4 linked regions of the Saccharomyces cerevisiae S288C genome follow. The protein of the gene in region 3 interacts with the protein of the main gene of each other region in a biochemical or structural test. Each region holds a gene or a part of one and is shown on either strand. Other genes may lie near its edges. The genes, in order: DBF2, CHC1, VPS27 and UBI4.

Region 1 (7,465 bases), on a different chromosome or scaffold from region 3:
CCTTATGCCAACCAGTACCATTCGCATACTCTGATCCAGATTTCTTTCAAGACGTCATTTTGGAATTTGAAACCTCACCTAAATGGCCAGATGAAATTACTTCCTTAGAAAAGGCTAAAACAGCTTTTCTTCTCAAAATTCAAGAAGAATTAAGCGCTAACTCTTCAACTTATAGGTCGTTTTTCAGCAGAGATGAATCCATCCCATACAATTTAGAAATTGTAACCTTGAACATCTTGACACCTGAAGGTTATGGATTCAAATTCAGAGTTCTAACTGAACGTGACGAAATCCTTTATTTAAGAGCTATAGCGAATGCTAGGAATGAGTTGAAACCAGAATTGGAGGCCACATTCCTAAAATTTACTGCAAAATATCTGGCTTCCGTAAGACATACTCGTACTTTGGAGAATATATCTCATTCGTATCAATTCTACTCCCCTGTGGTAAGACTATTCAAAAGATGGTTGGACACTCATTTATTACTAGGTCATATAACGGACGAATTAGCAGAGTTGATTGCCATTAAACCTTTTGTTGATCCTGCACCATATTTCATTCCAGGTTCTCTTGAAAACGGTTTCCTCAAAGTGCTTAAGTTTATAAGTCAATGGAACTGGAAAGATGATCCATTGATTTTAGATCTAGTAAAACCAGAAGATGATATAAGAGATACATTTGAAACAAGTATTGGAGCTGGCTCAGAGCTAGACTCCAAAACGATGAAAAAGCTTTCTGAAAGATTAACCCTAGCACAATATAAGGGCATTCAAATGAACTTCACGAACTTGAGGAACAGTGATCCCAACGGTACACATTTGCAATTTTTTGTTGCCTCTAAGAACGATCCAAGCGGTATTCTTTATTCATCAGGTATCCCACTACCCATTGCTACAAGGCTTACAGCATTAGCTAAAGTAGCCGTGAATCTTTTACAGACACACGGTTTAAACCAGCAAACTATCAATCTTTTATTCACGCCTGGATTAAAAGATTACGATTTTGTCGTTGATTTGAGGACACCAATAGGTTTGAAATCATCCTGTGGTATACTTTCAGCCACAGAGTTCAAGAATATAACTAACGATCAAGCCCCATCGAACTTTCCAGAGAATTTGAATGATTTAAGTGAAAAAATGGATCCAACATACCAGTTAGTGAAGTATTTGAACTTGAAGTACAAGAATAGTTTGATTTTATCAAGCCGCAAGTATATAGGTGTGAATGGTGGAGAGAAAGGAGATAAAAATGTCATCACAGGGCTAATAAAGCCACTCTTCAAGGGAGCCCACAAATTTAGAGTAAACTTGGATTGCAACGTTAAACCAGTGGATGATGAGAATGTGATTTTAAATAAAGAAGCCATATTTCATGAGATTGCTGCATTCGGGAATGACATGGTTATAAATTTTGAGACAGATTAGAATAAACAACAAAATCATAACTTTTAGAAGTATCTGTATAATATTAAATAATTAAAGCAGCCGGCAGTTTACATAAAGAATATTTTTCTTTAATTCTTTTTTTTAGATGTGGTCCTTTCGGCGATTTGGCACAAGTTAACTTAGTATTTTTAAAAGTTTTGAATAGTACTGCTGTGGCGACGCTCAGAATAAAGCTAGGTAAACGATTTGAACGCCTCAACTAGCACTATTTGATAGCATTTTGGCTGCAGAAAATATACAAAGACCTTATGAGCTCTGAAGAGGACTATTTCGATGAGCTCGAATATGACCTTGCCGATGAAGTTAATGAGGAAAAAGAAGACATACAAACTAAAAAGCTCACTACGGTAAATTGTCAAACAGAAAAATTCAATCCATTCGAAATTCTTCCGGAAAGTATAGAATTATTCAGGACGTTGGCACTCATCAGTCCTGATAGGTTATCTCTATCAGAGACAGCACAGATTTTACCAAAAATTGTCGATTTAAAAAGAATCCTTCAACAACAAGAAATAGATTTCATTAAACTGTTACCGTTTTTTAACGAAATCATCCCCCTCATCAAGAGCAATATAAAATTAATGCACAATTTTCTAATCTCACTGTACAGTAGACGTTTTCCAGAACTATCTTCATTGATACCATCACCATTACAATACTCAAAAGTGATAAGCATACTGGAAAATGAAAATTATTCAAAAAACGAAAGTGATGAACTATTTTTCCACTTGGAAAATAAAGCAAAATTGACCAGAGAGCAGATCCTCGTTTTAACAATGTCCATGAAGACGTCTTTCAAAAACAAAGAGCCATTGGACATCAAAACGAGGACGCAAATTTTAGAAGCAAATAGCATATTGGAAAATTTATGGAAACTACAAGAAGATATAGGTCAATACATAGCCTCAAAGATATCAATAATTGCCCCTAACGTGTGTTTCTTGGTAGGCCCGGAGATAGCAGCCCAATTAATAGCACATGCTGGAGGGGTTTTGGAGTTCAGTCGCATTCCCAGTTGCAACATTGCGTCCATTGGGAAGAATAAGCACCTCTCACATGAGTTACATACATTAGAGAGTGGAGTACGACAAGAAGGATATCTATTTGCTTCTGACATGATTCAGAAATTTCCCGTTTCTGTCCATAAACAAATGCTTAGGATGCTTTGTGCAAAAGTATCACTAGCCGCAAGAGTTGATGCTGGCCAGAAAAACGGTGATAGAAATACAGTTTTAGCTCATAAATGGAAAGCCGAACTATCGAAGAAAGCTAGAAAGCTATCAGAAGCCCCGAGCATTTCTGAAACGAAGGCTCTACCTATTCCGGAGGACCAACCCAAAAAGAAAAGAGCTGGGAGAAAATTTAGGAAGTACAAGGAAAAATTCAGACTATCGCATGTCAGACAATTACAAAATAGGATGGAATTTGGCAAGCAAGAACAAACTGTTCTTGATTCCTATGGTGAAGAAGTTGGTTTGGGTATGTCTAATACTTCTTTACAACAAGCAGTAGGAGCTACATCAGGTTCCAGAAGATCTGCTGGTAATCAAGCCAAGCTAACAAAGGTAATGAAGCACAGGATTTCTGAGGCTAATCAGCAAGCTGACGAATTCCTAATCTCCTTGGGTCATAATACAGAGCAACCGAATCTGTCGCCAGAGATGGTTCAAATGCACAAGAAACAGCATACTAACCCAGAAGAAGAGACCAATTGGTTTTCCGGTCATGGTTAGGGCTCTTCTACATACTTGATAATATTTAAAAAGATATTATATAGTAGTGACCGGCGAGAGCGTTTTCGCTCATAAATTTCGTAAAAAGCCAAACACCACACGCTGCAACCCAGATGCCCTTTTTAGGAAATGTAATTATTCAAAAAGTAAACAATGACATGTTTCATTCCTCAATCTAAATCATTCGAAGCTACCTTGATGTTGAAGCCCTCCGCTTGTTGTTTATTTAAAAATAAATACAAGGAGGCAATTCGTCCAAGTAAATTATTGTAAGATAGAAACCTTGCTAAAGATAGAAACTAATATACCAGAAAAATTCAAGCAACATCTACAGTATTCCTTGCTAAAGAAAAATTCTTTAATATGCTATCAAAATCAGAAAAAAATGTCGACCTCTTGGCAGGCAATATGAGCAATTTGAGTTTCGATGGGCATGGGACTCCTGGGGGCACTGGACTATTTCCTAACCAAAATATAACAAAGAGGAGGACAAGGCCTGCGGGTATCAATGATTCACCTTCGCCGGTAAAACCATCCTTTTTTCCTTACGAAGATACTTCCAACATGGACATAGACGAAGTATCTCAACCTGATATGGATGTCTCGAACTCTCCCAAGAAGCTTCCACCAAAGTTTTACGAAAGAGCAACTTCAAATAAAACACAGAGAGTTGTTAGTGTTTGCAAAATGTACTTTCTAGAACATTACTGTGATATGTTTGACTATGTAATTAGTAGAAGACAACGCACGAAGCAAGTTCTAGAATACCTGCAACAGCAAAGCCAACTTCCGAATTCTGACCAGATTAAACTCAACGAAGAGTGGTCCTCTTACTTACAAAGGGAACATCAGGTTTTGAGAAAAAGAAGGTTGAAACCAAAAAATAGGGATTTTGAAATGATCACACAAGTAGGTCAAGGTGGTTATGGGCAAGTTTATTTAGCCAGAAAGAAAGACACAAAAGAGGTGTGTGCTTTGAAAATTTTGAACAAAAAACTATTGTTTAAGCTCAACGAGACAAAACACGTTTTAACTGAAAGAGATATCCTAACCACGACAAGGTCTGAATGGTTAGTAAAACTTCTGTATGCATTCCAAGACCTACAAAGTTTATACCTGGCTATGGAATTTGTACCAGGCGGTGATTTTCGTACATTATTAATAAATACTAGATGCTTGAAAAGTGGCCATGCGAGATTTTACATCAGTGAAATGTTTTGCGCTGTTAATGCGTTACATGATTTAGGCTATACACATAGAGATTTAAAGCCGGAAAACTTCTTAATCGATGCCAAGGGACATATAAAATTAACAGATTTTGGTTTGGCTGCTGGTACGATTTCTAATGAAAGAATTGAAAGTATGAAGATAAGGTTAGAAAAAATCAAGGACCTGGAATTTCCAGCGTTTACAGAGAAATCTATAGAAGATAGAAGAAAAATGTACAACCAGTTGAGGGAGAAGGAAATTAATTATGCGAACTCCATGGTTGGGTCTCCGGATTATATGGCTTTGGAGGTTTTAGAAGGAAAGAAATATGACTTTACTGTGGATTACTGGTCGTTGGGTTGTATGCTGTTCGAAAGTTTAGTTGGTTATACACCATTTAGTGGATCATCGACTAATGAGACCTATGACAACTTAAGGCGCTGGAAACAAACTTTAAGAAGACCGAGACAATCTGATGGGAGGGCAGCATTCTCCGATAGAACTTGGGATTTAATAACAAGATTGATTGCCGATCCAATCAATCGATTAAGATCCTTCGAACATGTTAAACGCATGTCTTATTTTGCAGATATAAACTTTAGTACTTTGAGGTCAATGATCCCGCCTTTTACACCCCAACTAGACAGCGAAACTGATGCCGGTTATTTTGATGACTTCACCAGTGAGGCTGACATGGCCAAATATGCTGATGTTTTCAAAAGACAAGACAAATTAACGGCTATGGTAGATGACTCGGCAGTATCATCAAAACTTGTTGGGTTCACTTTCCGACATAGAAATGGTAAACAGGGTTCCAGTGGCATCTTATTCAACGGACTGGAACACTCAGACCCCTTTTCAACCTTTTACTAGCGTAAAAATGAATTCTTGTCTTGCATTCGCCGCGATATAATTAGCTTTAACGAGCTTCATGCAAACTTTTCAACTAGCACCTATGAACGCTTTTTTCATAAATATACATATATATATATATAGTTGTGCATTACTTAGGACTTCAAGCCCATTGTTTAAAATCTCAGTTCACGGTAACGGTCCATCCCATGACCGTTTTGAACTAAACTTAAGCATTCATGTTGGGAGCGGCGAAACTTGGTAATGTTTTACAGGAAAACAGCAATGACCACTATTAATCGAAAATCTGCAAAAAATGAAAAGGAATGGGTGTTAACATCAATTGTTTTTTCAATGATAATTACAAATTGGACTGATACTACATTGCTAGATGTACAAAAAACGCAAGGTAGCTCTCTTAGAAGGATCCATAATATATAAAAAAGGGCTTATGGTTTACTGATATCTTTTTCACTTCAAAAACTTACATATAAAAATAGGATGACAAATGCAAAGATTTTAGTAGCTCATATAAGTGAAAGCGATGCCGATGAGGCTATCAGAAAGATCAAGAAAGTGAATGAAAAATCAGGGCCCTTTGATCTAATAATTATATTCAGTAACTCGTATGATGAAAATTTTGAGCTGAATACTGATGGGTTACCTCAACTAATACTACTATCGTGTGATAAGGCTAACAATTCGAAATCCAAAAAGATAAATGAAAATGTAACATTGCTGCATAATATGGGTACTTATAAATTAGCAAATGGAATCACTCTTTCATATTTTATTTATCCGGATGATACTCTTCAAGGGGAGAAAAAAAGCATACTGGACGAATTTGGCAAAAGTGAGGATCAGGTAGACATTCTCCTTACAAAAGAATGGGGCCTTTCGATCTCTGAGAGATGTGGAAGGTTGTCTGGAAGTGAAGTTGTTGATGAATTGGCGAAAAAGTTACAAGCAAGGTACCATTTTGCCTTTTCAGATGAAATAAACTTTTACGAATTAGAGCCTTTCCAGTGGGAAAGAGAGCGCTTATCGAGGTTCCTCAATATTCCAAAATATGGATCTGGAAAGAAATGGGCCTATGCATTCAATATGCCAATAGGGGACAACGAACTAAAGGATGAACCTGAACCGCCCAACTTGATAGCTAACCCGTATAATAGCGTGGTTACAAACAGCAATAAAAGGCCACTAGAAACAGAAACAGAGAATTCGTTCGATGGAGACAAACAGGTACTTGCTAATAGAGAAAAGAATGAAAATAAAAAAATTCGAACGATTTTGCCGTCAAGTTGTCATTTCTGCTTTTCAAATCCAAACCTCGAGGATCATATGATAATATCAATCGGCAAACTAGTGTATTTAACCACAGCGAAGGGACCTTTAAGTGTTCCTAAGGGTGATATGGATATCTCAGGCCATTGCCTCATTATTCCCATTGAACATATTCCGAAATTAGATCCAAGCAAGAACGCAGAGTTGACACAGAGTATTTTGGCTTATGAAGCTAGTCTTGTGAAGATGAACTACATAAAATTTGATATGTGCACGATTGTCTTCGAAATACAGTCTGAACGTTCTATTCATTTCCACAAACAAGTTATTCCCGTTCCAAAATACCTCGTTCTAAAGTTCTGCAGTGCCTTAGATAGACAGGTTCATTTCAATAACGAAAAATTCACAAGAAATGCTAAGCTAGAGTTCCAATGTTACGATTCACACTCTTCCAAACAATATGTGGATGTAATTAACAACCAATCCAATAATTATTTACAATTTACCGTCTACGAGACTCCTGAAGCGGACCCAAAGATATATTTGGCCACATTTAATGCCAGTGAGACAATAGATCTGCAGTTTGGACGACGTGTACTAGCCTTTTTACTTAACTTGCCACGCAGGGTGAAATGGAATTCTTCAACCTGTTTACAAACTAAGCAACAAGAGACTATAGAGGCTGAAAAGTTTCAAAAGGCCTACAGGACCTATGACATTTCTCTCACAGAAAACTAAACTAAAACTATTTCATTTAGAATTTCAAATATATCCAAATATATGTATATATATGTAGAATACTAAGTCATGCTACCTCTGAACGTTTAAGAGACCTAGCAACTCAGAGGTGATGAATTAAAAGAAAAACCGGGTAAAGTTCTTCGAGAGACCGCGCTGAAAAAATTTTTTTAGAAGAGTCACCCATACAGCCTACTGGTG
Region 2 (10,569 bases), on a different chromosome or scaffold from region 3:
AAAGTTACGTGGCGAAGCCCGTGGTGGTGCCGAAGACGCTCAAAAGGAGCAAATTCGTAAAGAAAACCAAAAGAAGCTACACGAAAAATTGGAAAAGAATGGATTACTCAGATTTAGTGCTGCTGATGCCAATGGCCCAGATAGTGAACCTCGTCAATACTTCAAAAAATATGAATCTTATGTTCGGGATTCACAACTACCAACCAATATTCGTGATCTAAGAATTCATGTCGACTGGAAAAGCCAAACAATTATTCTACCCATTTACGGTAGGCCAGTCCCATTTCATATAAATTCATATAAGAATGGTTCTAAAAACGAAGAAGGCGAATATACGTATTTACGTTTGAACTTTAATTCACCGGGATCTTCTGGTGGTATTTCTAAAAAAGTGGAGGAATTGCCGTATGAGGAATCAGCAGACAATCAATTTGTACGTTCGATTACACTAAGATCCAAAGATGGTGACCGCATGAGTGAAACCTTTAAACAAATTGCAGATTTGAAAAAAGAAGCCACAAAGAGAGAGCAAGAACGTAAGGCGCTTGCTGATGTTGTTCAACAGGACAAATTGATTGAAAATAAAACTGGAAGAACGAAAAGACTGGATCAAATTTTTGTGAGGCCAAATCCAGATACAAAACGTGTACCTAGTACTGTCTTTATCCATGAAAATGGTATCAGATTTCAATCCCCACTAAGGACTGATAGCAGAATAGACATATTATTCTCAAACATTAAGAATCTAATTTTTCAATCTTGTAAAGGTGAATTAATTGTCGTCATTCATATTCATTTGAAGAATCCAATTTTAATGGGTAAAAAGAAAATACAAGACGTCCAATTCTATCGTGAAGCTTCTGATATGTCCGTCGATGAAACTGGAGGTGGAAGACGAGGTCAATCCAGATTCAGAAGATATGGTGATGAGGATGAGCTGGAACAAGAACAAGAAGAAAGAAGAAAACGAGCTGCGCTTGATAAAGAATTTAAGTATTTTGCAGACGCAATCGCAGAAGCATCAAACGGTTTATTGACGGTGGAGAATACATTTAGAGATTTGGGCTTCCAAGGTGTCCCAAATAGATCGGCAGTTTTCTGTATGCCAACTACAGATTGTTTAGTTCAATTGATTGAACCACCATTTTTGGTGATTAACCTAGAGGAAGTCGAAATCTGTATTTTAGAAAGAGTTCAATTTGGTTTGAAAAACTTCGACATGGTTTTTGTTTATAAAGATTTCAATAAACCCGTCACTCATATCAATACAGTTCCGATCGAATCTTTAGATTTCTTGAAGCAGTGGTTAACAGATATGGATATTCCTTACACTGTCTCAACAATCAATTTGAATTGGGCAACTATTATGAAGTCATTACAAGATGATCCATATCAGTTTTTCTTAGATGGTGGTTGGAATTTTCTGGCTACTGGTTCAGATGATGAAGCATCTGATGAAAGTGAAGAAGAAGTTAGTGAATATGAGGCTTCAGAAGACGACGTAAGTGATGAAAGCGCATTTTCTGAAGATGAAGAAGGATCAGAGGTGGATGACGATATTAGTGGTGATGAAAGTGAGGACTATACTGGCGACGAGAGTGAGGAAGGTGAAGACTGGGATGAATTAGAGAAAAAGGCTGCTAGGGCTGATAGGGGTGCAAACTTTAGAGATTAGACTTTATAACACTTACTGGGTTTCACCAGCAAGACCTTGATCTGACAGAAAATTACTCTTATGTATCTGAAAAATAATGATGGTATTTAGGCATAGTATTTATCAATGCTAAGAAATGTAAATGGACTGAATGTACACTCAATGCTAACGGTCAAGGTCATAGGACGTTTGCGTAATAAAAGAAACTCTACTAGAGTTGAACATAATTTGATATAAAAGTATATAAATTGAAAAGGCAGTTTCAATCATTTTAGTTTCTGCAATTTATTTATTCCTGTAATCTACAATTTTATAGTTGGGAAATTCTCTCGAAAATATTAAGAAAAATACAGAACTCATAAGGTCTTTTTTATTGGCATTTTGAAATCCCCTCAGATAATCAAAGATGCTAACAAACAAAATAATAACGGTAAAAAAAAAAAAAATACACGATGGGGTACAGCAAACGAATTATTTTATCCACGTCTTAAAATCCTGTGGGTTGAACGTTCATCGCGCTGTTCATCAGCATCAAAGGTTGGCCATCTTTGTGCTCTTCATTAGATCCGGACTTTTTAGCGAGTTCTTCGGTGATTTTCTTAATGGAATCATTCTGCTCTTTTTTTATGGAGATTTCAAATGGCTTAATGTAGTCCTCCAAAGAATTCATCCATGATATTTCTAAAACAAATTCAATTCTCACTAAGTTGTAAGCAGCATATAGCAAAGCAACAAAGCCTTCTCTGTTACCGGTTTCAACGAAATATGTGAGTAGAGCCTCCACTACCTTTGGATCCTGAGAGATTGCTGCCGTCTCAATAGCGTCCTTCCATAGCTTTTCTTCCTTCAAGATTGAAAGACTCTTTGCCCACTTCTTATTTCTACGGTATAACAGGGCTCCTATTTTCTTGAAAAAAATTAGCTTATGAGATTCCAAACGAGATGCCAATCCCAATTGGTCAAATTTGTCATAAGAATCAACAGCGTCTTGCAAAGCTTTATAATCTTCTTCTTCAATCATCAGATCGTGGTAGGCTTGGTTGACAACTGAGTTATTTTTTGGTAAGACATTGATCAAGAAAGGCTTGATTAAAGGCAAGTTGTCGGATTTCGAGAAAATTTTGACAGTTCTTGGAATATCTAATCTTGGTGTCAATGAGGTCAAAAGATCAACTAGTAATGATGGGTGAAATTTGACGTAGAAATTAATGGCCTTGTAATAGATTTCTAAGTTAGAAACTTTGACAACAACTTCTTTGAAATAGGCGTGATCCAAGTCTTTGGTTGATTTTTCGATTAGTGTTAAAGCAGCATTATCCCATTCATCATAGTGAGCATATAAAAAGACCAATTCCGACCAGAGGTGAGCTTGTTCGACAGCTCTAATAACCTTTGGAATATTTATTCTGGACCAGAATAGCTTCAAGTGTTCGAAGGTCTTGTCTGGTTCATATTTGGAATACAAAATGGCCAATTCAGTGAACATGCCCATATGAGCTCTTTCAAGTCCCAAACCAGCTTCAAACAATGAAATCAGTTCTTCGAAATAGCCGTTTGATTCATACCTTTCCACCAGTTCATCTAATTCTTCAGCGTGAACGATCAAGTTCAACCCACAAATTTGAGCCAGCTTGAATTCTTTCTTTTCAATACAAGCGTCGTTAACCAGTTTCCAAACTTTAATGTTTGAAGCCTTTCTAGCAGTGTCAACAGCAGCCTGATAATCTCCCAGGTAAACCAAGGTAGAAGCAAGCTTGGAGTAATTAGAAACAGCAGAATAACATAGCCTGGCCGCTTTATACTCTTTATTCTCGAATAATTTATCACCAACATGATCTAAGTTTGCAACATTGGAACCTGCCAACAAGTTCTCAATTTCATGAATCTTGTTTAGTTCAGCATAGGCCAAGATTAAAGCACCGTCGATCTTTGGTTCTTTCAAAGTCTTTCTAGCCATTAGTAAAAATGGAATTAATTCTTCGTATTTACCGGCTTGTTCGGCTATATCAATTACATTTTCGTAATTTGATGGGTCTTCTGCTTTAATATAAGACTCAATAGCATCTGGGATTCTTAATCCATCTAACTGAGCCGTACCAATTTGAGACCACAATTCGGGAGTATTGATTTTATCAGCATAAGAAGCAGCTCTATCTAAAGACATGATGTCTTCGATTAAAACCTTTAAAGCTTTACCGTACATTTCATGTTTGTCATAGATTTCAAAAGCTTCCTCCTTCAAATCATGTTCAATACATAATGGAGCAATTTCATCGGCGTCGTAGTTATCTAATTTTTCGATATAGCTTGAAACCTTAGTTGGTTCATACTTAATAGCAGACAATAATAGCAACCCTTGTAAAGCCACATTTTCGTTGAAAGGAGAAGGTTCCAATATGATTTTTTCTAGCAACTCAATTAGTTCCAGTTTTAATCCATTGGTCATGAATGCTTGAACAGTTAAGGAAACAGGTTCAGGATCAGTTAATTCAGGGATACCAACGGAGATGACCGAATCAATTAATTGTCTTCTGTGAATATTTTCTTGATTCAAAACTTTGTTCCATAAATCGAGATCAGAACGTTCCAACAAATATCTTGCCTGGTACTTGTACATGCTATTTTCATTAGTGATTCTAATCAAGTCATCATCATTTTGACCTTTTTCATACGCAATATATGCAAGGTAGGGATCTCTTTTTTCGCAGTAATGACCAACGTCTAAGGTGTCATATTGGTCGTTTTCCTTCAAAAACTTTTCAGGAGAATTATTGGAATCAATATAAATTTTTGCTAAGGCATTGTAAACAGCTTGATCCTGGATACCTTGACTTAAGCTTTGTTCTAGGAAAGGTAGCAATATTTTTAGTCTATTTCTCTTTTCAACCTCAGTAGTTAATTCATTAATAGGGACTTGACCTAAGACTGATTGTAGCAGACTTTGAATAAATGCCTCATCACAGTCCATATCAAGTAATGCGCCAACAACTTGGGCAGTCTTTGAAGGGTTAACCTGCTGCACGTAAGTTTCAATAAATTTTAAGTTCTGTGATTTGTACAAATATAAAATCATTTCATGAACAAAGTCGAAACGGTCACAAACTATGACTAGAGGCAACTGGTCTTCTAGATTGGCATCCTTCAAGAAATTCTTGACTCTTTCTGGATCATAGACATTGTTATCCTTCACAATTCTTTCAATTTCTCTGTATTGTTTCATTTTAGCAGCAGCTTCAATGTATTTGTAAACCACATCTTTATCTTCGGTTAGGTTGACTAAAGAGGCTAAGTAATAGTATAAACCTTCCGTAGCATTATAATCTTCGAATAATTTAATCAAAGTAGATGGACCGATCAAATCAGAGAATTTAGTTGCCACCTGTACTACGGTCTGGATGTTAGCCTGAATATTGTTATCCATTAAAGCTTTTAAGCACGCCAAAGATTGTTCAACGTTCAACTTACCAAAGTATCCGACTAACCAATCGATAGGTAATGCATTGGTGTGGACAACGCATCTCTTGATATCTTTGATGTCTGTGTAATTTTCTAAAGCTCTCTGGTATAGTCCCGCCTTTTCGGATAAGGAAGCAATAGTTGGTTTGTCATAATGAGAAAAGATGTTGTTTCCCAATATGGCGTCAGCAACTTGTGGTGCGTGTAGTAGATTGACTTCAAGAACACGAGTTTGCAAGTGACCTTGGTCTGGGGTATCTCCTTTTAACGCGTCTAGAAGTAGAGAGGTTCCTTGTTGGATATGGTTTTGGGAAAAGAATAGATCTGCGATTTTTTCTATGTCGATCTGAGAAGCAGTTTCCGGATTTTGTAATAGAGATACGGCAAATTCAGAAGCTCTGTCTGGTGATGATCTAATCAAAGAAGAAATCAGCACTAAAAAGTTAGGTTGATATCCAACCTTTTGGCAGTAAGGAATAATTTTTTCAAACTGTTGTAATTCGGCAAGACAAGATATAACTTTTGCATGGGCACCTGCTCTTAAGTAGCAAGCTAGCGCTAAAGTAGTATCGAAAGGCTTAACGATGTCACCTAGTTCTTCTGAACATTCTAGTTTATCTTCCTTTAACCATTTTTCGAACAATTGTTTTCTGTCTTGTTGTAGAACTGGTCTAGCCAATTCAATTGTTTCCTCTTTATTCAATTTCCCTTTATCCAATAGTGTTGAAAAGTAAAGTAGGATAGGAGAAATGGCGCCTGGTGGTGCTTGAATGTTTTTCAACCTGTTGATGGTGTTTTGGTTCCTTAAAGAAGTGGAAGAGGCTGCAACTTTAGCTGCATTTTGATAATCGTTTTGTAACAATAAAGATTCAAACTGTTTTTGAAATAAATCATCTGCACCTGGTAAGCCACCTCTTGTAGCAACGATTAAGGCCAGTGCCACATTAGATAATTTATTCAAGATATATGGAACGATTTGAGAAGTAGAAATCTCTACTGCTAAAACTTGACCTTTTTTATTGATGCATGCAATACCGTTCTCGTGATTGTACGGAGCTGCAGTAAAAACAGATTCTGCTGTAATTCTATTAACGAATAAATTGGTACCGGTTTCCAATTCGTACAAATGGATGAAGCCATACTTGGTTAATAGGTAAATTATGCCGTATTTCTCAGACACCTGAACAGCGATTGGGAAATCATTCGTTGCATCTGGTGGAAAGAAAATATCGGTAGTTTCCTTTTGATATTGAGAAGGCAATGAAGCATCGTGATCAATCTCGATAATTCTTAATTCTCCAGCACCGGTGGTGGCATTTCTGTTACCAGTAACGAAAACTTGTACCGGGGTCGAGCCATTACCCTCTAGTAATATATTCGTAAAGATAGCAACATGACCGTCGATAGCTTGGGAGATGTTACGTTGTTTTGAGAATAATTGAATTCTACCGGCAATACGGCCATTTTCTTGTAAGATACCAACAACTGCGAACCAGTCAAGGTTTTTGTTAGCCACAAAATTGATAATTTGGGTATTGTTCAAGTTAGCGTGTCTCAAGGTAAGCAATTGAGGCTTAGCATTTACGTTACCATCAAAGACGTTCGAGGTCAGTATGGATCTTGCGGTAACAAAACCCAAAGTGGTTTCACTCAACCACCTCCAAAAAATAACAGGTTCATCTAAAGTAAAAGACTTTAACTTGCTCTTAGTTTCCAAATTAAATATCTGCACGATAGTACCATTTGCTCTAACGGAAATAACCATCTGAGATGGATGCATGATAGCAGAATCACCGCCCATATTCTTCCTTGTCACTTCATTGCCTTTGGCCAAATCCACGATTGCAACAGAGTTTGTACCGTCCTTTGTTTCTCTAACAGTGACGAAGTGGTCACTCTCGAAAGTAGTTGATCTGAAGTCAAGGAATTGAGGGGAAATTCCTAAGGACATCAGATCGACCAATTCGGTAAATTCAATGGGTAGGTCACTCATTGGTTAGAACTTTCGTGATAATTTATTTTTATAGTTGAATATCTTCTTTCTCTCTCAACTCTGATCCGGATTGTCGAGGTTTCAATAAGTTACTCTGAACAACTAATCAAAATATCTCCTTATTTCTGTAGATTCCTTCAGTTCCACTTTTTACTTTTCTTAATTCTCTTTGTATTTATTCCTAGCGACGAAAAATGCGAGATCTCGACCAAAAAAAGGGGGTAGGGTAATAAAATTAACCCTATTATTTTTTAACTTTAAAACCTATAATGTGCTAATATTTTATTATAAACCTCCTTTTTTTGCGTTCAAACCCTGACACATTTTAAGCCCTATATTTACGGTATTAGTTGATTAAACTCCGAAGCGAAAGGAATTCGGTCATTAGCGGCTAATAGCCGTTGGGGTAAATCACCTACAAGCAAGTACACAAGAGAACGTTGGCGTTGTTAAGTCAAAGCACTAATACATTGGGGCTTTAAGAGTGTTTATAAAGGTCTAACCTGTAAAAATTATTTAAACAACTTGAACAGGCCTTAAAGTTTTCCTCATTCCGCTCATCATCACTAATATTGCTCTCCGTTTTTGAATACACACTTGACACTAATAAGTATCACAGAAAAAAAGAAAATATAATAAATTAGTATTGCGATATGACGAGACGTACTACTATTAATCCCGATTCGGTGGTTCTGAATCCTCAAAAATTTATCCAGAAAGAAAGGGCGGATTCGAAAATCAAAGTTGACCAAGTTAACACATTTTTAGAGTCATCCCCGGAGAGGAGAACTCTGACGCACGCCTTAATAGACCAAATAGTGAATGATCCTATATTGAAAACTGATACGGACTATTACGATGCTAAAAAAATGCAAGAGAGAGAAATTACTGCCAAAAAAATAGCTAGGCTTGCTAGTTATATGGAGCACGATATCAAAACAGTGCGCAAACACTTTCGCGACACTGACCTGATGAAAGAGTTGCAAGCAAATGATCCAGACAAAGCTTCGCCTTTAACAAACAAAGACCTTTTTATATTCGATAAGAGATTGTCACTTGTAGCAAATATTGATCCTCAATTGGGTACGCGCGTGGGTGTACACTTGGGGCTATTTGGTAATTGTATCAAGGGCAATGGTACTGATGAGCAAATCCGGTATTGGTTGCAGGAGAGAGGTGCCACTTTGATGAAAGGTATATATGGCTGTTTTGCAATGACTGAGTTAGGACATGGTTCCAATGTTGCCCAGCTGCAGACTAGGGCTGTGTACGATAAGCAAAATGATACTTTTGTAATTGATACACCTGATCTAACTGCCACCAAATGGTGGATTGGTGGGGCTGCCCATTCTGCCACGCACGCTGCCGTGTACGCCAGATTGATCGTTGAAGGTAAAGACTACGGTGTAAAAACATTCGTTGTTCCTCTGAGAGACCCTTCGACTTTCCAACTGTTAGCTGGTGTTTCCATAGGGGATATTGGAGCGAAGATGGGTCGTGACGGTATTGATAATGGCTGGATCCAGTTCAGAAACGTAGTTATCCCTAGAGAATTTATGCTAAGTAGATTTACCAAAGTTGTCCGTTCTCCAGATGGTTCAGTCACCGTCAAAACTGAGCCACAATTGGATCAAATTTCTGGTTATAGTGCATTGTTAAGTGGTAGAGTTAACATGGTCATGGATTCATTTAGGTTTGGCTCCAAATTTGCTACTATTGCTGTACGTTACGCGGTTGGTCGTCAGCAATTCGCACCTAGAAAGGGATTGTCTGAAACACAATTAATCGACTATCCCCTTCACCAATATCGTGTTTTACCACAATTGTGTGTTCCATATTTGGTGTCACCTGTAGCTTTTAAGTTAATGGACAACTATTATTCCACTTTGGACGAGTTATACAACGCTTCCTCATCTGCATACAAAGCTGCTCTGGTTACCGTGAGTAAAAAGTTGAAGAATTTATTTATTGATAGCGCCAGCTTGAAAGCCACCAATACTTGGTTAATTGCTACACTGATTGATGAGTTGAGACAGACTTGCGGAGGACATGGGTATTCACAGTATAACGGATTTGGTAAAGGCTATGACGACTGGGTGGTTCAGTGCACATGGGAGGGTGATAATAATGTTTTATCTTTAACTTCAGCAAAATCAATATTGAAAAAATTTATCGATTCAGCCACAAAGGGTAGATTTGACAACACACTGGATGTGGACTCATTCTCTTACTTAAAACCTCAGTACATAGGATCTGTGGTTTCTGGAGAAATAAAGAGTGGTTTAAAGGAGTTGGGTGATTATACTGAAATTTGGTCTATCACCTTAATCAAATTACTGGCACATATTGGTACTTTAGTTGAAAAATCAAGAAGTATTGATAGCGTTTCTAAGCTTTTAGTCTTAGTATCCAAATTTCATGCCTTGCGCTGCATGTTGAAAACCTATTACGACAAGTTAAACTCTCGTGATTCACATATTTCCGATGAAATTACAAAGGAATCTATGTGGAATGTTTATAAGTTATTTTCCTTGTATTTTATTGACAAGCATTCCGGAGAATTCCAACAATTCAAGATCTTCACTCCTGATCAGATCTCTAAAGTTGTGCAGCCACAACTATTGGCTCTTTTGCCAATTGTGAGGAAAGACTGTATAGGTCTGACAGACTCCTTTGAATTACCTGACGCGATGTTAAATTCTCCTATAGGTTACTTTGATGGCGATATCTATCACAATTACTTCAATGAAGTTTGCCGCAATAATCCAGTGGAGGCAGATGGGGCAGGGAAGCCTTCTTATCATGCGCTGTTGAGCAGCATGCTCGGTAGAGGTTTCGAATTTGACCAAAAGTTAGGTGGTGCAGCTAATGCGGAAATTTTATCGAAAATAAACAAGTGAGTAGAGGTTTCCTGTTTTCCTTCGAACCCTCTGTTTTGCGACTTTTGTTTCAATTCAACTAGTGTCGCCAAGTTTTAACAAAAAGTTACAAAATCCTAGTGAGAGGCCATCTTATGTGCATAACGGTACTCTCTATCTATTTACATATCTAATACTATTCACATAACTATGACGAATCAATGACATGACTACATTTACCAATGTATAGTAGTAAAAAAATTGCCATCTCCTAGAATCGAACCAGGGTTTCATCGGCCACAACGATGTGTACTAACCACTATACTAAGATGGCAGGTAATTATTGAGTGTTTACTCAATATCTCAGAATTATATACATAACAAATAATAAATGTGCTGTGTTGGCACTTGTTGGAATGAAGCTCTAAAACATCATGATGATTGTGTGGATTCTGATGTAATTGTTGGGATTCCATTTTTAATAAGGCAATATGTTGGAACGAGAGTAATTAATAGTGACATGAGTTGCTATGGTAACAATCTAATGCTTACATCGTATATTAATGTACACATCGTATACGTTTAAGTGTGATTGCGCCTATTGCAGA
Region 3 (7,719 bases):
GTTTTTGATGGCTCCTTTTTTCTTAGAGTGACAGGCGCGGCAGCCCCTTAACGCGGGTACCTGAACAAGTAAATCCGAAAATTCAATTTGACAAGGGAATCATTGGGCTGACAACAATAAGATGAGCTCTCTTATATTTTTGCCCAGGGAAAAATTTTTTGCCCACTAAAGATATGCAATATTAAAAAATTTGATAAAAATAAATCAATGGGGGCGAGCCGGGACTCGAACCCGGGACCTCCCGCACCCTAAGCGAGAATCATACCTCTAGACCACACGCCCGGTAGAAGTTGTTTTAATGAATTTCAAAATATGGTACCTCAACATCAATAGATCATCAACCACAACGTAAAACATGCATGTGAGGCTTAGGTGATTTTTGAGATAATTGTTGGGATTCCATTGTTGAAAAAGGCTATAATATTAGGTATACAGAATATACTAGAAGTTCTCCTCGAGGATCTAGGAATCCTCATATTCCTCTGTTGATAATTAGAGGTTAAAAATTAGTATTAATGAAGAAATAAGTACTGATCTTCTTATACTAAATAAGAGATGTATATAAAACACACGCTGATTGGTCATATTAATCATGACCAATATAATAGTGATTCCGGTAGTTACTAAACATTGATGTGACGACTCATATTCCTCATATATGTACCTACCATAACATGTTCAACTAATAGGTCTTTAACACAGCTTCAGTATTGTCTGAGCTTCTCGTTTAACATTCCTTCTGCAATAGGCGCAATCACACTTAAACGTATACGAGGTGTACATTAATATACGATGTAAGCATTAGATTGTTACCATAGCAACTCATGTCACTATTAATTACTCTCGTTCCAACAAAACAATTCTTAAAAATTCACCAATTTAGCTTCATGGCAAGGCTTACAGATGATTAAAATCGTGTAGATCATGGAAATCGAACCTTTCACGTTCTGCAGAATTTAAAGTGACTCCATGGCCAAGTTGGTTAAGGCGTGCGACTGTTAATCGCAAGATCGTGAGTTCAACCCTCACTGGGGTCGTTTTTTTTCTTATTTCAGATAGTCTTGTCGGTAGCAAACAGTCAAATCGCTATCACTTACATGTGATATCATTTCTGTACTGCTTATGCACTATGAAGTGCGGTTTCTTTTTTATGCGATATTACATGTGTCAATAGCAAAAGGGGTAAACCGTGCTCCTATACAACAAGAACAATAGTTCGGAAATGCATGAGAACAGTGTTGTTTTATAAAGGATTCTATGTGAAATAAAACAAAGGCCGATTTGTTCGACATTTGCTGGGCTTTTCATAAATAATGGATCATAAGAATATATAATAGGGGTAAAAGTTATTTTAGCCTGCACTTTTGTGTTTTTAGAAGAACACCTTATCATTGCTAGGTAATGCGAATGGATGGACCATAATGTACGAGTTTTGTCTTGTGGCAATACCTGCGTAAGCGTTGTACCAGGCAATGAAGGCTACTATCACACCAAGGACCCCACCAGCTCTAGTGACGCCAACTTCGCCTGTGAAGTTTGCAATGGATAGAAGTAAGAAGGTCACTGCTAAGAGGAAGAATAAGGCAAAAAACATTATAGTTGATTTCATGGTGCAGACGGAAAGACCGAAGGTGAAGAGTGCCCATCCTAGGAGGTAAAACCCTAGCGCATTTCCAAGGTCGGATTCCTTGTCCTTATAGGCATCTAGAATTCCAAACCAAGGGATGTATATAGCACCGAAGCTTAACCAAAAACCGCCGAAGGAACACAGGGCTGTACCACCGAAAGTGTTCTCTAAAGCGATTTCCCAAATACCAGCAATGAGTTGAACGAGGCCACCGTAAAACATGGCACACCCAACAACAACATTAGGGATAGTGATGCCTTGGGCTCTTGCATTGAACATGGATAGGACAAACGTAGTGAGGGCAAAACCGGAAAGTCCTAGTGGAGCAGGATTTGCGAATTTATGGACTGGCGCGGGGGCTAAACCGGGATTCAGAGTACCACCGAATGCCTCGAACAAATCATCCCTTAAAAATTTTTGACGGCCGATGTAAATATACTCGTTGTTTTTGCCCGCAGTATATATTTTGCATATGGACTCTTGCGAGTGGCGGCTCTGATCGTTGTTTTCAGAGATGAACTCACCCTCGGAAGAATCGAGTGCCTTAGGGTTCTCAAAAGCGGTGTTGCCGCTGCTTTGTTCTCTGTCAGACATGCCTTTTATTTTTTTCTGTGATTGAAGATTGTTTTTGATTGATCTGTAGAATGTTACATAGTTAGTTATGGCTATTCTAGCTCTAGGTAGGACAGTTCTCCTGCTTTATATATTTTGCTTGTTCAAAGATGATCACGGCTGTTCTCGGAGTGCGTAACTGCTTGAGAGTTAAATCCGTCGAAGTTGCTGATCATTTCCAGAAATGAGGAGACTGTTGATGATCTACTGTGAAATTATTGCGGGGCTGGTAGCATCTACTGTCACTATTATTGCCATGTCGGCTGGTATCGGAGTTCTCCCTCCGCCGATTTAGGATGGAGCCGTTCCAGCCGCGTCCGCTCTTAAGCGTCCGTAATTGGTCAACAAAGCATTTCAGCCGTGGTGATTGGAAGGAAGGTCAGCTTTCCTGTATTGCGTCTCTATCTACTTACAATACGAATGATACATTGAATTACGTACTAGTGTGAGATAGGGGTAGTCAAGAACTTCAAATTGTCCATTCATCGAAATAGACCACTTCCTTGTCGTGTTTTGAAGCCGGAAACATCTTGAAGTAGTTAAAGATGGAAAATTCTTCTTCATCCTCCAAAGCCTTATTACCTGCCTCCGGCTCGCCCTCACCTTGGTTCATTTGTAGAATGCTCTCTAAGGTCACTCTATAGCAGTCATGCGTGACTTTTTCCAGCTTGTCGTCGTACACTAAGACTTCACACAAAGATCTGATATTTGAAGGGGTTAACTCGACATTGGCCACTTGTGCCGCTGTAATAAATTCCAAAATTTCTTGTGTGGTAGAGTAATTTTTTACGTTTGGAGCATAAAAGACGTTTTTTTTGGGTCCATTTTCGAAATTCTTGAAGCCATTAGGGAAGGTGTTCTCTGATATGAACCTCCAAACAATAGTCAATAAACTATTGATAAATTCTATATCCAGCTCTCCATCTGTGAACCATGGACCTCCTGTGATGTCCACAGAGGGTTGTAAGCTGTACAACATGTAGATTTTCCTTGTGGGAAACTTTACACTCTTAACACTCTTCACGTATCTTTGGGATTCTAAACTCTTCAAGCATTTAAGAACTACATGCTGATGGAGATTGGTTCTTGCCTTGATAGTCTTGGACCATATCCCTTCTCTACCGCTAGCCTCGATATAAGAATATACCAGTGCCTCTTCAGCCGACATGGTGGCTTTCTTTTGCGCCTCAGATTCTAAGACACCTTGAAATTTTAATTCGTCGTTTTGTTTTACTAATTTGATCAAGTTCTTGTCTAGCAATTCCTGTACAATGGACATCAAGTCTGTTAACGACCCGATTCCCATTTGTTTTTGGAGTTCTTGCTGTGTAAATAATGCGCCTATTCCTTTCGACATCATCTGGCTATGTAAGGTTTTAGCATTGTCCGATAGCTGTAACCCATTTTCTATCATTCCACTCATATTCAGGATATTGGCGCTGTAAATTCTTCACTTGATTAAGATTTTCTGTAATGATCTCATCTCACAAATACATCGCAAATCAACTTGAAAATTTTTAATACAATAAAAGATTTGAAGGAAAAAAAAAGTGCCTGTGCGCGATGTTACTTAAAAACAAAAAGATTAAATAATTGCAATATCATCTAGTTGGATTCTAAATATACTACCAAACAAGGGCTTAAACATTTTAATAAACGATTTACATATTTACTGTGGGTATGGCAATGGGTGAGCGTAGGTATGCTACGGTAGGCGATGTAGTGAGTAGTGCGGACGAACCGTAGCCGTAACGTTTAATGCCCCCTGCCTTTTCTTCTCAATTGCTCACATGTAAGCAAAGTCTTCCAAGAATCTGGTTTTACTCGTAGCCTTTTAACGCTGTTTTTTTTTTTTGCACACCTTTAAAACCTATAGAAACTCCTTCATATAAAATGTACTAGTTATAAGATGACTTTTTATATTCAAAATTAGAAGAAAACTTAACTAAAATTAAAAAAATAGCGGCTATTAAAAGGTATTAAAAAGTGAGAAAAAAAGAAAAAAATTATAAACTTGAGAAATCAAAGGAGACTAAATGCATAAGCAAAGAGAAGAGGATCTCCTCGGATGATAGATTTATACAATTACTCTAACTTAGAAGGTTTACTAGACGGATTAACGGACTTGAATCGAATTCCGAAGGAATACTCCGCAGTATTGGAGCCATATTTTCAGAATATAGCAAGAAATGCACATTTAAAGTCTAGAGCTCTAAAAATTTGTCGTTCTAATTTCCATAAATGGAACGAAGAAGGTGCGAAGACAGTCAATCCGGAAATTATAAGAAGATGCCTTAACCTGTGGTATGTTTTGAAGGGCAAGGAATATAAAAAGTTGAAGGATCCTCCGCCTGCTGATAATATCATTAAGGATGAGATTGATGTCTCATATGTTAAGAATTTGAATGTAGTCAGGTTGGAATTTGACGAATTTGGTAAACTCATAAGTAATCCATTAGAGAATTTGATCTTGGAAGAGGTCGAAGTGAATGATTTCATACAAGAATAAACCTAAAGTGTGTTCACTCATCTAATATGCACGGAGCCTACCTTTTAGCTTTTGCTGCCAAACTAAACCAAGATTGAAAGATATATAATCGACTATCTTTCGTCTCGTAATCTGTATCATGCAATTTAAATTAATTATCAACATAAAATGCTCTAGTTAGCACGCGCATATCCAGGAAAGTTCACCAGTAACTATGTACTAGACAAAAGCAAACTGTTCGGAGCGACCATACACCATATGTTGTTGAATCAACTTTTCTTAAGGCTCTTTCGAGTTCATCATTAACCAACCTAGGTATTTTCCCGATTTTTTGGTAATATGTCAAAACAGCTACTTTGTATACATTTATAGACGCCTGGTGTCCTTTGAGCCTCACTTATATAAAGTAACCTTCACAAGATTTTGGATTTTGGTAATACATACGCTACTGCTATTTCTTGCGGAGCAGCAGAATCATCTTGCTCGGCCTCCTTTTCTGAAAATTTCGATGATACCTGAAATAATCATCATTAGCAGAGGGAATTTAAAAATAGAGGGTGTAAAATTATCAAGATTTTTTTTTGCTAAGGTGAATGAGTAGTGAGTAAAGAACTAAGAACAGTATGTCCGTTAGCACGCCAAGTGAGTTAGACGCATTAATAGAACAAGCCACTAGTGAGAGCATTCCCAACGGTGACCTTGATCTCCCCATAGCGTTGGAAATTTCAGATGTGTTAAGATCTAGAAGGGTAAATCCCAAAGATTCTATGCGTTGTATAAAGAAAAGGATTCTCAATACGGCCGATAATCCAAATACCCAATTGTCTTCCTGGAAGCTTACCAATATATGTGTAAAAAATGGTGGAACGCCTTTTATTAAGGAAATTTGTTCCAGAGAGTTCATGGATACCATGGAACATGTCATTTTAAGAGAAGATAGCAACGAAGAACTTTCTGAGCTGGTAAAGACCATATTATATGAACTATACGTAGCCTTCAAAAATGATTCGCAACTTAACTATGTGGCAAAAGTTTATGATAAATTAATCTCTCGTGGCATTAAATTCCCTGAAAAGCTAACACTTTCCAATTCTCCGACTGCAATGTTTGACTCGAAGACGCCCGCAGATTGGATTGATTCTGATGCTTGTATGATTTGCTCCAAAAAGTTTTCTCTACTAAATAGGAAACATCACTGTCGTTCCTGTGGTGGAGTTTTCTGCCAAGAACACTCATCAAATAGTATACCCTTACCTGATTTGGGTATATATGAGCCAGTCAGAGTATGTGATAGCTGCTTTGAAGATTACGATTTGAAGAGACATGACGACAGTAAAAAATCTAAAAAACATCGCCATAAAAGAAAGAAGGACAGGGACTACTCAACTCCTGAGGATGAAGAAGAGCTGATAAGGAAAGCAATAGAACTCTCCTTGAAAGAATCTAGAAATAGCGCTAGTAGCGAGCCTATTGTCCCCGTTGTAGAATCAAAGAATGAGGTGAAGAGACAAGAAATAGAAGAAGAAGAAGATCCTGATTTAAAAGCTGCTATTCAGGAAAGCTTGAGAGAAGCTGAAGAAGCGAAGCTACGCAGTGAGCGTCAAAAAGCCTCTAGACAGATGCAACCCCAACAGCCATCACCTCAACCTCAACCTATCCATTCCGTTGATTTATCTGATGAGGAGAAAGACAGCATATACATGTTTGCTTCACTTGTCGAAAAAATGAAATCGAGGCCCTTGAACGAAATTTTGGAAGACTCTAAATTACAAAACTTGGCTCAAAGAGTATTTGCTTCCAAAGCAAGGTTGAATTATGCTTTAAATGATAAAGCTCAGAAATACAATACTTTGATAGAAATGAACGGCAAGATTTCGGAAATTATGAACATATACGATAGATTATTGGAGCAACAGCTACAAAGCATCAATTTGTCTCAGCAATACACACTTCCACAAGTCCCTTCTGATCCGTACAATTACCTAACAGAAAATGTGCAAAATCCAGCAGAAAGCTATCAAACACCTCCCCTCCAGCAACTATCATCTCATCAATACAAACCACAACAGGATGTCTCACGCCAACAATCGGTAAAAGCAAATTCATCACCTACCACTAATATTGATCACTTGAAAACCATCGATGTGACACCACACGCACAGCAAAAGCCTCAATCGCACGTTGAACTTGCACCTTCGGACCCACCTTATCCAAAAGAAGAGGCCGAAGATGAAGGAACACAGGCAGTGCAAGATGAGGAATCCTCCACACAAGAATCCCGCGAAAGGCCGTATCCAGTAGAAACAGAGAATGGTGAAACTTCAATAAATAAACGGCCTCAAGGCATTACACGTTACGATTTTCCAACTGTTCCTGCACGCAAATTCGTCCAACCGGAGTCAACTGTACCACTTCCTGCAAGTTCCTCTGAAATTCCGATCAAAGAGGAAAGGCCGCCTAGTCCTCAAGAGGAACTGCTAATAGAGCTTTAATATTGTAGCCTTTTCTATGTATTTGTAAAAAGAAACCTAGCGCTTATAAATATATACATACATATATATATAATTGCTTGTTACGCAACTTATACATATTTCTGTCATTAAACTAGTTTTTAAGGTGAATATTCATAATTTATGTCAGTATTAACATTGAAACCGTCAAAAAAAAAAGTATCAATATAGACAAAGGAAGGACCATTTTAAGAAAGTGGTTTTAAGGAAGAAACTTGTTCCTGCATATTTATAGTTAATTCCTATCTTCTTGTTTATCCTGTTTTTTGACCACCTGGCTTGCAGCTAATAGTGAAAAAACACAAATTTTTACCAACCTTCCATGGTATAGTCATGTTGTATACTCGGTGTAACACTAGTAATAAACTTTAAGAAAACAATCAAGTATTGGTCTACCCGTAACGAATCATCAATATCGTCTTGTAAATCCTCCCAGTCTCCGACACCGTCCAGCTCTTGTTCTTCCTGCAGCTCTTTCCTTC
Region 4 (6,724 bases), on a different chromosome or scaffold from region 3:
GATTGAATTCGGTCTGACTCATGTAATAAATGATACGTTGTTCTCTCGTTTAATGGAAAGTAAGGTTCTTTAGGTTTCCATAGATAATTAACATCCCGATATAAATGACCTGCTTCTAACAAGCCCGTATGATTAGAATTAAAAACGCGAAGAACACATGGAAATGATTTGAATTCTTCATCTCTAATTTTAAACCTGTTGTTTCTCGGCATAAAAAAAGTGTCTTGCCAGCCTGCAAAGTGCGAAAAATCTATAGTAGGTATGGACTGTGATAACGGGTGCCAGAAGGTTAAAATTTCTCTCGAAGCGTTATAGTGTACATTGTTGTAGACAATACCTCCTTTCACCACTTGCAGCCGGAAAACACCAGATAAATGTAACTTCTGTTTTTCTTTCAACCCCACAAACATAGTTTCATCTTCATCTCCTTCATACGTTATATTATCGATCAATTCAGCATCCAGCCCGTTCAAGTCATCACCTTCGTCGTCCTCATACTCTTCACTATTGAGAACTACGGTTGCACTTTTTGAAGATGGAATTGACGGAGATTCCACAATGAAATTATTACTTGAGTCTGAGTCCGATTCTGAACCTGAATCTTTGGTATATTGAGGTAGATCCTGTTTGGAATCTATCACCATAGCGGTAGAATATAATAGAAATGATTATCTTCTTCTCTCTGCCAAACTAAACTGCAGTCTTTCCTTATTTCAGAAGGGAAAGATCAGGAGTGGGGAACCTATACTACCTGCACTATAAGCGTGAATTAAGACAACTTAAATGCAACCTAAGCCTTAGGCGCAGAGCACTCGATGACTTGGCAGGAATAAATTTCATGTTGATAAATTTCGTACTTTTTCGGGTAGCAGCGGTGAAAAATTCGTAAGGGCAATTTTAGAAAGATGCAAACTTTCCAAGAAATATTAAAGACCAAAACATAGCCAAGAAAGCCAACTAGGGAACAATGCTTTGTGCTATTAGTGGGAAAGTTCCTAGAAGGCCAGTTCTATCACCTAAATCCAGGACTATTTTTGAAAAGTCGCTCCTTGAACAGTATGTTAAAGATACGGGGAATGATCCGATAACAAATGAGCCCTTAAGCATCGAAGAAATAGTGGAAATCGTACCTAGTGCGCAACAAGCCTCACTAACAGAGTCTACAAACTCTGCTACGTTAAAAGCGAATTATTCGATTCCGAATCTGTTGACAAGTTTACAGAATGAATGGGATGCTATAATGCTCGAAAACTTTAAGTTACGATCAACTCTAGATAGTTTAACGAAAAAACTGTCGACTGTAATGTACGAAAGAGATGCTGCAAAGTTGGTCGCTGCGCAACTATTGATGGAAAAAAACGAAGATTCGAAGGATTTACCCAAATCCTCACAGCAAGCGGTAGCTATTACGAGAGAAGAATTTTTACAAGGGCTGTTACAATCTTCTAGAGACTTTGTAGCGAGGGGCAAGCTCAAAGCACCCAAATGGCCGATTTTAAAAAATTTGGAGCTATTACAGGCACAAAATTACTCCCGTAACATCAAAACATTCCCATATAAAGAGCTTAACAAATCTATGTACTATGATAAATGGGTGTGCATGTGTCGCTGTGAGGATGGTGCTTTACATTTTACCCAATTAAAAGATTCGAAAACGATTACCACAATAACTACACCAAATCCCCGTACCGGGGGAGAGCATCCAGCTATTATTTCCAGAGGGCCTTGTAATCGTTTGCTACTACTATATCCAGGTAACCAAATAACTATATTGGACTCAAAAACAAACAAAGTCCTCAGAGAAATAGAGGTAGATTCCGCCAATGAGATTATATATATGTATGGTCACAACGAGGTCAACACAGAGTACTTCATCTGGGCGGATAATAGAGGAACCATAGGATTTCAATCCTACGAGGATGATTCCCAGTATATTGTTCATTCTGCTAAATCAGATGTTGAGTACAGCAGCGGTGTCCTACATAAGGATTCATTATTATTAGCCCTTTACTCTCCGGACGGTATATTAGACGTTTACAACTTGTCATCACCTGACCAGGCAAGCTCTAGATTCCCCGTAGATGAAGAAGCCAAGATAAAAGAGGTTAAATTTGCAGACAATGGGTACTGGATGGTAGTAGAGTGTGACCAAACTGTGGTTTGCTTTGACCTAAGAAAGGATGTCGGCACGCTAGCGTATCCAACTTACACAATCCCAGAATTCAAGACGGGCACCGTTACCTATGACATTGACGACTCTGGAAAGAATATGATTGCATACTCAAACGAGAGCAATTCGCTGACGATATACAAATTTGACAAGAAAACAAAAAATTGGACTAAAGACGAGGAGAGCGCCCTCTGTTTGCAAAGCGACACTGCCGATTTCACTGATATGGACGTGGTATGCGGAGATGGTGGTATTGCCGCTATTCTGAAGACAAATGATAGTTTCAATATTGTTGCATTGACACCCTAAATACGCTGACACGTTTGTACTTTCTAAATAAACCTGTGTAATAGTAGTAACATTTCCAGTAAAAATTTCATTTCCTTCTCTTTTTACATCTCTAGGACAACGCTTTAGTGAGAAAAAAAAAAAAAGAAAAAAGAATGAGAAAACGAAAATTGAGGTTATGTGTTGAATAAGCCTAGAAAGCATAAAGGTGTCAAAGAACGAGTACACATATAGTGAGGGGGTCGTGATGCCTTTGTTAGATACCTTCAAGAGTTTTATTCAATCACCGACGGAATCAAAGGTGAAACAGGCTACCAACGAGGACGAAACAAGTGGAGCAACGGGGACGCTTATGAACGAAATATCAATCTTGACCTACAGCCCCAAGACAGTACGAGAAATCATCCAGGTAATCCGGAAGCGATTGCTACTTGGGCAGAACAGAAGAAATTCTCATCGAAATTGTATCCAGGTGATGAAGACGCTGACTTTGGTCTCATATCTGATGAATAACGGGTCCAATGAATTCATCAAGTGGCTGAAAGGAAACATGATACTAATTGAGATCCTGGAGGATTTTCAGGTTCAGGATCCTCGGGATGAACGTAAGGCGGAAGATATTCAAAAGCTAAGCAGGAACGTTCTGGGGCTGCTGCAAGACGACGGGTTACTAGAAAAACAACGCAAGGATGTAATACAATTCCGCTCAAGCATATCGACTCCGGGCAGGAAGTCCACGGACAATAGCCATTTGAAGCTGGAGGAAATGAGAAGCGAGCTCACGCGACAAAGCTTAGAAAAGAAAGCAAAGCCTCCCACCACCAGCACTAGCTTAGATTTCCAGAGACAACGGACAAGGAATACGCACGAATATGCCCGATTCTCTTTGGATCCCCTGGCCGAAGAAGACAGTGAAGATACGCCCGGCGTGGCGGGTGGAATAAGCAAGCTCTCATTTAGACCCAAGTCTTCAAATAACCCGTTCAGATGATTTTAGAGTCTTCCTTGACCAATCATCTTATTCGCGCAGGGCAACCCATGATAGGAAATGTCCCTTTAAACGAACTGTGGGAAATCCTGCAAAAGTGATGAAAGTGACGTTTTATGAAAAGAAAGTGAAAAAGTTCTTGTTTGACAATATTCTATTCCGAAAAGTCTTTGTGGTCAGTATTGTTTCTAGAACGTTCTAGAATAATCCTGGATAAACCAATTTCGGTACCAAAAAAAAAAATAGCCGCCCAGTGGAGCATCACACAGCCGTACATCCGGCCACACACGGTGGTTACCCCACTTCGTTTCTTTTTTCAGGGGCGATGCCACTTATCAGTTGTTTTTAGAATTCAGTGTCATTTGAGGGCGGTTCCTCCTTTTGGGGGTATATATAGAGAGGCTCCGGGTTTTGCCACCTTTGAATTCGCCTGCTTATCTTTCTTCTTCCGAAAGTGCTACTTCAGAAAGAGCAAGAACTGTACGGATAAGGATAAGTATATCTTCTATCTACTACAATACGACAAGAACTCTCGAACTCTCCCTCCCACTTTACTTTAACTAATAGATTATGCAGATTTTCGTCAAGACTTTGACCGGTAAAACCATAACATTGGAAGTTGAATCTTCCGATACCATCGACAACGTTAAGTCGAAAATTCAAGACAAGGAAGGTATCCCTCCAGATCAACAAAGATTGATCTTTGCCGGTAAGCAGCTAGAAGACGGTAGAACGCTGTCTGATTACAACATTCAGAAGGAGTCCACCTTACATCTTGTGCTAAGGCTAAGAGGTGGTATGCAGATCTTTGTTAAGACTTTGACCGGTAAAACCATCACTTTAGAGGTTGAATCCTCCGACACGATCGATAACGTTAAGTCGAAAATCCAGGACAAGGAAGGTATCCCTCCGGATCAACAGAGGTTGATCTTTGCCGGTAAGCAGCTAGAAGATGGTAGAACCTTGTCTGACTACAACATCCAAAAGGAATCTACTCTTCACTTGGTGTTGAGACTGAGAGGTGGTATGCAAATTTTTGTCAAGACACTGACAGGTAAGACTATAACCCTAGAGGTTGAATCTTCTGACACTATCGACAACGTTAAGTCGAAAATTCAAGACAAGGAAGGTATTCCTCCAGATCAACAAAGATTGATTTTTGCTGGTAAGCAACTGGAAGACGGTAGAACGCTGTCTGATTATAACATTCAGAAAGAGTCTACGTTGCATTTGGTGTTGAGATTGAGAGGTGGTATGCAAATTTTCGTCAAAACTCTAACAGGGAAGACTATAACCCTAGAGGTTGAATCTTCCGACACTATTGACAACGTCAAAAGTAAAATTCAAGATAAAGAAGGTATCCCTCCGGATCAACAGAGATTGATTTTTGCTGGTAAGCAACTAGAAGATGGTAGAACCTTGTCTGACTACAACATCCAAAAGGAATCTACTCTTCACTTGGTGTTGAGACTGAGAGGTGGTATGCAAATTTTTGTCAAGACACTGACAGGTAAGACTATAACCCTAGAGGTTGAATCTTCTGACACTATTGACAACGTTAAGTCGAAAATTCAAGACAAGGAAGGTATTCCTCCAGACCAGCAAAGATTGATTTTTGCCGGTAAGCAACTAGAAGATGGTAGAACGCTGTCGGACTACAATATTCAAAAGGAGTCCACTCTTCACCTTGTCTTGAGGTTGAGGGGTGGTAACTGATCAGTCCTCGCAATATTTTCATTATGTCAATATATATATGTTTACTCTCCTTTTTTCTTTTTGGTTTTTTTTTTTTTTTGATAAATACTCCATAGAACACTAAATAAATTGTTCAACTGTGTTATTGTCTTTATTCATGTTGGTTTTCAAGAGCTTGGATTTTTGAATCGTCTTATACTATGACGTTCACTATTTTCGCGAAGCCGGGTAATACCATTAGCTATTTTGATAGAAAGGGATTTTTATTAGGGAATATAAACCACCTTTATAGTGTCCTATCATGTTTCAATCTCCAGTAAACGCACATAAGCCGACCAATTGAGTCAACCTTTTAACTCTATTTAATTTGATACGGATAGAATATTGTGACTACCAAAAGGGAAAAGGCAGAAAAAAGGAAAATTAAGAACAGTTAAATGTTAGAGTCTTTAGCTGCTAATTTGCTAAACCGATTGCTAGGCTCATATGTGGAAAATTTCGACCCTAATCAATTAAATGTCGGCATATGGAGTGGTGATGTGAAGTTAAAAAACTTAAAACTAAGAAAAGACTGTTTGGACTCATTAAATTTACCCATAGATGTGAAATCAGGGATACTGGGTGATTTGGTCTTAACGGTCCCATGGTCAAGTTTAAAGAATAAGCCCGTGAAAATCATTATCGAGGACTGTTATTTATTATGCTCACCACGTTCAGAAGATCACGAAAATGATGAGGAGATGATAAAGAGAGCTTTTCGGTTGAAGATGAGGAAGGTAAGTGAATGGGAACTGACAAATCAGGCTCGCATACTGAGTACCCAATCAGAGAACAAAACCTCTTCTTCTTCTTCAGAAAAAAATAACGCCGGGTTTATGCAGTCTTTGACTACAAAGATCATAGACAATTTACAAGTTACCATAAAAAATATCCATTTAAGGTACGAGGACATGGACGGAATCTTCACTACAGGCCCATCTTCCGTTGGATTAACTTTGAACGAGCTATCAGCTGTATCTACAGATTCCAACTGGGCTCCAAGTTTCATTGATATTACACAGAATATCACGCATAAACTATTGACTTTAAATTCACTCTGTTTGTATTGGAATACAGACTCTCCGCCCTTGATTTCTGATGATGATCAAGATAGAAGCCTGGAAAATTTTGTAAGGGGTTTCAAAGATATGATTGCATCGAAAAATTCCACTGCCCCCAAGCATCAATACATTTTGAAACCGGTTAGCGGGCTAGGGAAGCTTAGTATCAACAAGCTGGGTTCCACGGAGGAACAACCTCACATTGACTTGCAAATGTTTTATGATGAATTTGGTTTAGAATTAGATGATACAGAATATAATGATATCTTGCATGTCCTCTCCAGTATACAGTTAAGACAAATTACCAAAAAGTTTAAGAAAGCAAGACCATCCTTCGCAGTTAGTGAAAACCCGACAGAATGGTTTAAATACATTGCTGCTTGTGTTATTAATGAAATTCATGAAAAAAACAAAATGTGGACTTGGGAAAGCATGAAGGAGAAATGTGAACAACGGAGGTTGTACACAAAATTATGGGTTGAA

The links.
Region 1: of the proteins of VPS27 (region 3) and DBF2, one has a biochemical effect on the other in vitro, tested with the Saccharomyces cerevisiae proteins (2 studies listed by BioGRID).
Region 2: the proteins of VPS27 (region 3) and CHC1 form a complex in vitro, tested with the Saccharomyces cerevisiae proteins (one study listed by BioGRID).
Region 4: the proteins of VPS27 (region 3) and UBI4 form a complex in vitro, tested with the Saccharomyces cerevisiae proteins (8 studies listed by BioGRID, with this or other methods).

What each region holds. Positions count from the first base shown.
Region 1 is NC_001139.9:664,648-672,112, forward strand, and holds DBF2 (serine/threonine-protein kinase DBF2), read left to right. Parts: upstream 1-3,541; coding exon 3,542-5,260; downstream 5,261-7,465. Other genes in the region: rRNA-processing protein UTP22, read left to right, coding at 1-1,424; U4/U6-U5 snRNP complex subunit PRP31, read left to right, coding at 1,694-3,178; DRN1 (Drn1p), read left to right, coding at 5,741-7,264. UniProt on the Saccharomyces cerevisiae protein: Ser/Thr-protein kinase involved in the mitotic exit network (MEN) and required after the metaphase to anaphase cell cycle transition. Phosphorylates CHS2 to regulate its dynamics and chitin synthesis at the division site during cytokinesis.
Region 2 is NC_001139.9:100,402-110,970, forward strand, and holds CHC1 (clathrin heavy chain), read right to left. Parts: upstream 7,104-10,569; coding exon 2,142-7,103; downstream 1-2,141. Other genes in the region: chromatin-remodeling protein SPT16, read left to right, coding at 1-1,675; POX1 (acyl-CoA oxidase), read left to right, coding at 7,757-10,003. UniProt on the Saccharomyces cerevisiae protein: Clathrin is the major protein of the polyhedral coat of coated pits and vesicles. In yeast, it is involved in the retention of proteins in an intracellular membrane compartment, presumably the trans-Golgi.
Region 3 is NC_001146.8:631,636-639,354, forward strand, and holds VPS27 (ESCRT-0 subunit protein VPS27), read left to right. Parts: upstream 1-5,350; coding exon 5,351-7,219; downstream 7,220-7,719. Other genes in the region: putative ammonium permease ATO2, read right to left, coding at 1,373-2,221; RPC34 (DNA-directed RNA polymerase III subunit C34), read right to left, coding at 2,709-3,662; SWM2 (Swm2p), read left to right, coding at 4,308-4,748; ATG3 (Atg3p), read right to left, coding at 7,547-7,719. UniProt on the Saccharomyces cerevisiae protein: Component of the ESCRT-0 complex which is the sorting receptor for ubiquitinated cargo proteins at the multivesicular body (MVB) and recruits ESCRT-I to the MVB outer membrane.
Region 4 is NC_001144.5:62,500-69,223, reverse strand, and holds UBI4 (ubiquitin), read left to right. Parts: upstream 1-4,016; coding exon 4,017-5,162; downstream 5,163-6,724. Other genes in the region: GRC3 (polynucleotide 5'-hydroxyl-kinase), read right to left, coding at 1-644; E3 ubiquitin-protein ligase PRP19, read left to right, coding at 968-2,479; ENT4 (Ent4p), read left to right, coding at 2,706-3,449; membrane morphogenesis protein VPS13, read left to right, coding at 5,579-6,724. UniProt on the Saccharomyces cerevisiae protein: Ubiquitin exists either covalently attached to another protein, or free (unanchored).